Danio rerio: one gene and its partner. The protein of the gene in region 2 binds, or shares a complex with, the protein of the main gene of each other region. Links are inferred from orthologs where the notes say so. Each region holds a gene or a part of one and is shown on either strand. Other genes may lie near its edges.

Region 1 (4,300 bases), on a different chromosome or scaffold from region 2:
TAAAAATGTCTACAAAATCTGACATTTCAAACCAGCAAAAGTCACTGTTAAACATTTAAAGTACAAAAGTTGTTGGATCAGAGATCAAGGTTGCATAATGCACAGAGCACTACACTTTTAATTAATTTTTTAATTTTTACAAACACACTAGATTCAGTGCCTCGAATGATGGGAATCTGCATCAGCCCTTTACTAGGCTACTGAGTTCAGTTCCCACACAGTCCAGCTGCTGACCTCAACCCCAAACGCTCTGCACATTACCAGGCTAAACTTCTGAATATAAGATGTGCAACAGGTCAAGGTATAGCCCGAAGACAGATGCCTGCTGGCTATTTTCACTTTTTTTTAACCAGTCTTTTCATCTTCCATGGGCAAAATAACAGGACCGACAGCTATTTAGCCTCTCCCACATGTTCTCAACAAGCACTCTTCTTTACAGTAAAAGCATCAGTCAGGCACTCAACATGAGGCCGGTCTGTATTTCAGCGTGAGATCTCAAGGCAGATTTGCCTAAAACAGAGCTGTCACGATTCCTAAAGCGCACCTTTGAAAAGCACAATAGCGCAACTGCTGCACCTATCACCTACTGCCTCAGGCGTCATCACGCACAACTGAACCAAAAGCTGTCAAAGGGGAGCAGATCATGTGATTAGCAGGCCGATGTGAACCCATTCCTCCCTCTATCTCTCTCTGCATCTCCCCCTCAACCAGATTAGGCCAGAGTTCACAGAAAGCCAAAAGCCAGACTGTACACAGCACCCATTCACTACAGATAATCCTATTTTCCCTAACCTCGGAGAAACGGCCGACCTTTAGTTTCCCAACTATTAATCCAGTGAGCCGTTCAGTGTTGAAATAAATGACTGATCTTAGGGTGTCAGTGTATTGTTGCATTGCACATATATTGCATATTGAAATAAGCATTGATAGATGTCATTAACAATGATTGCATTACTCCACTGGGATTCATTTACAAAAGACAATCACACTGCTAATGAAACACCTGAAGAGCAAGTTAAACAAACCAGATAACAGATAAGAATCGTATAAGGTGATGGAAGTAACCAGAGCAGGGACACATTATGGAGCATTTAAAAAAAAGAGGTGAACCCTGATCTGATAACCCCAGTTTCAATTGGAACATTACGTTCCTGTTAACAAGCAGCACACAGGGGAAGATTTAACCCCTTTTTTTAGTATGCTTTAGGCACTAAAGAGCAGCTGGCTATGTTTACCACCTAAATGACCAGTATCTGTACTAAAAAAAAAATTCAAAGATGATTCCATGGATTTACTACATTTTTAAGCGGTTGTAAACAATTTATTTAAACTTATTTAAACACATTAAGTTCAAAATTACAAAATTGAATTAGTTTGTTTAAATTCTGCAGACATCTTTTTTTCTTTTTCAGTGTGGCTGACTAAACTATCATCTATACAGATCGCCAGTCACAATTTACACCAAACAGCAAACCAGTATTTATGATTTATGTGCATTATCCTTAAATGAGTTTGTGACCTAGGGGATAAAGACATTTTAGTGGCTGGTGGAGGGACTGCACTTGAAAGGGTTCAATTTTGCAGAATAGAAATACTACTAAAGAGTACTATGGAAGCATGCCATGCAAACATAAATGTTGTTTACATGTTTGAGATGCACTGATTTGCATGAAAGAGACTAAATGCAATAACTAAAAATAAATGTAAAACTTAATTTAATATTTTATTTGTATATGCCATATCTTATTGTGTTTGGAACATAGGGATAAGTGTTTTTCCTTAGATATTGATGTAATAGTTAAGTTGACTACCAATTCCTTCAGTGACTTAATTGTCATTATAAACTACTTCCACTAATAATAAAAAAATAACATATCCTTAATGCTGTGATCTAATTTTATTACAAATAAAACTGAGATTTAATGTTCCCTAATGAACGATTACAATTACAAATGAACAAAATGAGCAAGATTAAATAACATATGTAATGATGCTGAATGGATAAAAAAATAATACTTAAACCATGTATAAAATTCAGCTGGTGTATTATCAAACGCATTCTTTTTGTATTGTTCACTTTCTTTTGACAATTTGTTGATCTTTGTTTTGCACTATATCATTGACATTGAATAAGCATATCCAAGATTAGCACAAAAAAGCGAATCAATTATATTTTATACTTACTATATGCATAAAGAGATACAGAAAATTATTTCTTAGTAGCATACAACTCTGGTGATGACATTTTTATAACTTTCAAGACCTTTACATGAGCCTATTTACTAAGGAGCCATAAATAGGATCCGAGTGCAACTCTCCGATATCAAAGTCTTTAGAAACTAAACTTGCTTTGGAAATTATAAAGCAAAAAGTTAGTTATAAAAAAGCTAAACGTGTACAAGTGTTTGCGCCTCGGGTTGAAAAAAGCAGTTTATTCCGCTCTAATGCCCGTGCCATTGCGCAATACGCCAAATCTCACCTGTGAGTCTTAAATTAAGATAAACAACTCAAGGCTGTAAATACATAAGTTATGTTTCACGCAGTAATGAAGTTTCCTCGTCTTACCTCTTTTTCTCTCTCTCGGCTGTCATGATGCTGAAGAACCTTGTCCTGCGTATAAATGACTTCACAAAACTTTCCCGAAAGATAACTAAATCGTTTAAACTCTTTTTGTATCACAGATGCCTTTATTTAGTTATTTCTTCACGGTTATGTCCATTCTCATGGCATTTCCAGCAGTGACCGGAGCAGTCAGTGCAGTCTCAGAACACTGCCGAGGATCGCACTAGCTCTCCAGAGTGACACGGACGGACCGGACGCGGCTGACGAGCTCGTGAGCGCCACTCTTGCGCTGCGCGTGCCTTCAGAACTGTGCACTGTGCGCACTGATTGGTGCTTCTAGCGGCTGCCTCCCGCCGGCGCGCGATCCCGAGATTCCCGAGACTTTTCTGTCACAAATTCGCGCTCACGAGGTCTATGCGAGTTTGGAAGGGGAAAATGCTTCAGGGATCTCAAAAAACAAAAAAGCACGCAGAGTGCTCTGGAGGAGCAAAATGTGAAAAAAGTAGCCAATCTATAAACCTGGTTAATCAAACAAAAATAATATTGCAGAATAAAAGTAGGCCTACTTTGTCCTTTTCAGGAGCAGGACTTAATTGGAAGAGATTTAATTTAGACTAAATCGACTCTTAAGTCTTTACTGTTCAAAGTAATAGTGCCAGGAAAAATTGGGGTTTCAAAGTAATGCCATTGCCACAGTAGAAATCTTTTGATCACCAAAACCATTTATTGAAAAAAAACTTCAAATATATTTTTTTCATAGCGTGAAGAACGTTTTATAACATTTTCTCCTGGGAATCACCCCAGTTGTAAGTGAATGTCATTTCAATGTTTTGATTTAGATGAAGAAGCAGTTTTATCGCTCATTTCCTGCCATCTTGCAGTTAAAATGCTTTTTTAAAATGAAGAGTATTTGTAATTTGCCCACTTGTCCTTAATTATCTTAAAGCTAAATTTTAAAGCCAATTTGCCATGAGATTATTTGCCAGACTTTTTACAATGTGATTGACAATTTATTTTATATTAGTAAGGGTTTAACTGGGAATTGCAAAATATTTTTTATTAATTAAAGAATCTGTTTTAATTGCGAAGTTGTTGTTGTTTTTACTAACGCACAAACTACTGCTTCTCTACACATACAACATAGAAAAAAGGTTTTGTTTAGGTAAACCATAAATAACGTTATGGCGACGTAGTGGCGCAGTAGGTAGTGCTGTCGCCTCACAGCAAGAAGGTTGCTCAGTTGGTGTTTCTGTGTTTGCATGTTTGCGTTCGCGTGGGTTTTCTTCGGGTGCTCCGGTTTCCCCCACAGCCCATACGTACAGGTAATTGTCCGTAGTGTATGAGTGTGTGTGGGTGTGTGGATGTTTCCCAGATATGGGTTGCGGCTGGATAAGTTGGTGGTTCATTCTGCTGTGGCGACCCTGGATTAATAAAGGGACTAAGCCGACAAGAAAATGAATGAATAAATAATGTGTACTTTCCCATATATGAAATGTGTATCCTTACCATTTGGCATTTTTATACTGCTTGAATAGTATTAAATGAGTAAAATAGTAAAATAGGCTATTTTTATTGTAGGTTTACATTAAAACACAGAATCAGTTTTTTTTTTTTTTACTGTATATACTATTTAAACACAAAAGGCCTCTTTTTTACTGTAGGTATAGTATTAAAACAGACCATTTCCACTTTTTTACTGTTGGTATACCTTTAATACACAGAAAATACCCATTATAAT
Region 2 (3,500 bases):
GTGTCGATATGTTTAGGGCTGTGTCTGAGTCCAATAGATTCTTTCAGAGGTGCATCCAGCTGAGCTCATAAACTCCTCCAGAAACTGAACTTGGATGACGGCTGGATGAGGCTTTCAGCGGTGCTCCTGACTGAGCCGAGCCCAGTTTGATGCACTGTTGTCGGTGTCGGCTGAAGGATTTACCTCGGGACACCAACAACAGTCAATATGTCACAATCACGCCCCCACAAGAGCAAGCTCATGATTGGTTAAAGCGGCACGAATGTCTGCTGAAGTTCAGATTTTTGAACTCGAGCGATTTGCGCAAAACGTTCAATTCGCGCTGCGTCATTCGCGCATATCGCGACATTCGTGCCGCGCAATTTGCGTCATTTGCGCGTACCGCGCCACAGGATGTCTAATTGCACGTTTAACAGTTAAATCACTCACGCTTGACGCTCCTACCGCGTCTGGTGTGAACACAGCATAACACTTTATGCGGATTGAACATAAAACATTCAAGTTGTCCCAATGAAATCTCAAGAATTGTGTTGTTACAGCTCGTTTTAAATTGTAAAAACATTTTAAAAGTTGTTTGTAAAAGCAAATAAATATTTTTTGAGAGTAGATTTTTAGAAAAAAAACTATAAAGTGTTAAAGTTAGATTTACCCAATAATAAAAAATCAACCCAATGTTGGGTTTGTCCATATTCGACTACAACCCAGCATTATTTACACATTCACAAATTACTTTTGCTGCTTGTTCAAACTACTTATTTAAAATGAGTTACGAACAATACTAATCTAACTTTGTTTCTGAATCCACTTAATTTGTAAAAAAATTACTAATTTAACTTAATAAATTTGTGTTGGGACAACATGAAGGAATTGTGTCGAACCCAGCATTTTTTACAGTGTAGATACTAGGCATGAAATAAAACTATAATGCAATCAGAGAGTAAAGAAACACATGAAGAATCTGTGAATGGTTTTACAGTATTAGTGCATTAATCACATGACTGATGGTCTCTGCCTCTGACTGAGTCTCGTGCTCCATTTTTATGACTCTCTAAGCTGTTTCAGTAACTCTCCTGCTGGTTTTCTCTGGAGATTACAATCTCAGAGGTTAATGGGATTAGACTGAAATGAAGCACGACCGGCACGTATGCAGAAGCCATTCATGACCGTCTCAGAAAACAGCATGCTTTAAAAATGCCAACAACATCTTTCAGTCAGAACTTCAGAACATTGAGCAAACATTGAGACTTTTTCAACTTTTTTTTTTTCAACATTTAAAATCTAGAGTGTGATCAAACTGGTATTTTATAAAACAATCAAGATGTTTGTTTGGTTTTCAAAATTAATTGTAAATAGGCGATGCGGTGGAGCAGCATGTAGTGCTGTCGCCTCACAGCAAGAAGGCCGCTGGTTCGAGCCTCGGCTGGGTCAGTTTGCATTTCTGTGTGGAGTTTGCAAGTTCTCCCTGCGTTCGCGTGGGTTTCCTCCACAAGTCCAAAGATGTGGTACAGGTGAATTGGGTAGGCTAAATTGTCCATAGTGTATGAGAGTGAATGAGTGTGTATTTATGTTTCCCAGTGATGGGTTGCGGCTGGAAGGTCATCCGCTGCGTAAAAACTTGCTGGATAAGTTAGCGGTTCATTCCGCTGTGGCGCCCGAAAAAAAAATAAATGAATGAATTGCAAATAAATGGTACTGTACTGATGCACAATATTGGTTTATTCTTGTGTGTGTGTGTGTGTGTGTGTGTGTGTGTGTGTGTGTGTGTGTGTGTGTGTGTATTTATTATTATTATTTATTTATTTATTTTTTGTACATTTAAAATACTATATATACAAATATTCTCTCACCGGCCACTTTATTAGGTACACCTTACCAGTACCCAGTCGGACCCCTTATTCCTTTAAAACTTCCTTAATCATTTGTGGCATAGATTCAGCAAGGTACTGGAAATATTCCTCAGAGATTTTGCTCCATATTGACATGATAGCATCACGCAGTTGCTGCAGATTTGTCGGCTGCACATCCATGATGCCAATCTCCTGTTCCACCACATCCCAAAGGTTGCTCTATTATTGGATTGAGTTCTGGTGACTGTGGAGGCCATTTGAGTACAGTGAACTTATTGTCATGTTCAAGAAACCAGTCTGAGATGATTCACGCTTTATGGTGCGTTATTCTGCTGGAAGTAGCCATCAGAAGATGGGTACACTGTGGTGGACATGGTCAGCAACAATACACCAGCCTGAACCGCTGATACAAGGCAGGATGGATTCATGCTTTCATGGTGTTGGTGCAGCAGATTGTCTTGACCATGTCTACATGCCTAAATGCATTGAGTTGCTGCCATGTGATTGGCTGATTAGAAATTCGTATTAACGAGCAGCTGGACAGGTGTACCTATTAAAGTGGCCGGTGAGTGTTACATTACTAAACAAAACTCCAGTTTTAGTCGATGCCATATACAATATTTTCCATATTTGATTCCATATATAATCAAAGCATAACATAAGAAACTTGATTTGTGTAAGTATATTATTGTATGAAATCAAAACATGAAGAGTTCTGCTGTAAAAATAATTGACCTCTGTTTTTAGACTTTTTCAGAAACCTTTTTTTTTACTTCATTGGAATGAATGAAATTGGGCAGTGGCTCAGTGGTTAGCACAGTCGCCTCACAGCAAGAAAGTCGCTGGTTCAAGTCCTGGCTGGACCAGTTGGGATTTCTGTGTGGAGTTTGCATGTTCTCCCCGTGTTGGCGTGGGTTTCCTCCTTAGTTTATTTATTAAATAAACTAAATTGTCCGTAGTGTACGAGTGTGTGTGTGTGTGTGTGAATGTGAAAGTGTATAGGTGTTTTCCAGTTCAGGGTTGCTGCTGGAAGGGCATATGTTGTGTAAAACATACACTGGATTAGTTGGTGGTTCATTCCACTGATAAATAAGGGACTAAGCTGAAGGAAAATAAATGAATGAAATTAAATAAAGACATCTGAATTTATAACACTGTTAACGTATTAATTTTTAGCATTAGTTTTAATAACTAATTTCCTTTGTCTTTTCATGATGGAAGCACATAATATTTGACTAAATATTCTTCAAGATACTAGTATTCAGCTTACAGTGACATTTAAAGGCTTAACTAGGCTAATTAGGATAATTAGGCAAACTAAATGATAATAATAGAAGAAAAAAAAACGTAAACAAATGTGTATTTTGAGAGTCCCTTTTAATAACAAAATTTTTCAGGTCGAAGCTTTGAGGATTAAATAACATCTGTGATTTCTTGCATACCTTGGCATCCCAATTCTTATTAAGATAATAAATGCACGTGACGCATCTCCCATCGCCATTCGGGTTGTCCACATGGCGCACATAACCCGTGCCTTTACCCGGATAACACGCCACCATCGCCTGCCAGAAAACACAGAAAACACTCACAGGTCAGCAGGGTTGATATTATCACTTGTGTCATGATGCGATTTTAAATATATTACAATATTCT

Evidence for each region. Proteins that work in one complex are often made in the same cells at the same time.
Region 1: the proteins of egln1a (region 2) and epas1a are in contact, whole or in part, in a crystal structure (PDB 7Q5X), measured with the Homo sapiens proteins. The link is inferred for Danio rerio from reciprocal best matches to the Homo sapiens genes EGLN1 and EPAS1. Residues at the interface, in NP_071334.1 of Homo sapiens: Gln239, Leu240, Val241, Ser242, Lys244, Ile251, Arg252, Trp258, Asp277, Ile280, Arg281, Ile292, Asn293, Gly294, Arg295, Thr296, Lys297, Tyr310, Val311, Arg312, His313, Val314, Asp315, Pro317, Asn318, Asp320, Arg322, Arg370, Trp389, Tyr390; in NP_001421.2 of Homo sapiens: Asp525, Leu526, Glu527, Thr528, Leu529, Ala530, Pro531, Tyr532, Ile533, Pro534, Met535, Asp536, Gly537, Glu538, Asp539, Phe540, Gln541, Leu542.

What each region holds. Positions count from the first base shown.
Region 1 is NC_133187.1:27,562,823-27,567,122, reverse strand, and holds the start of epas1a (endothelial PAS domain-containing protein 1), read right to left. Parts: upstream 2,801-4,300; 5' UTR 2,592-2,800; coding exon 2,566-2,591; intron 1-2,565.
Region 2 is NC_133188.1:53,018,862-53,022,361, reverse strand, and holds part of egln1a (egl nine homolog 1), read right to left. Parts: intron 3,410-3,500; coding exon 3,290-3,409; intron 1-3,289. UniProt on the Homo sapiens protein: Cellular oxygen sensor that catalyzes, under normoxic conditions, the post-translational formation of 4-hydroxyproline in hypoxia-inducible factor (HIF) alpha proteins.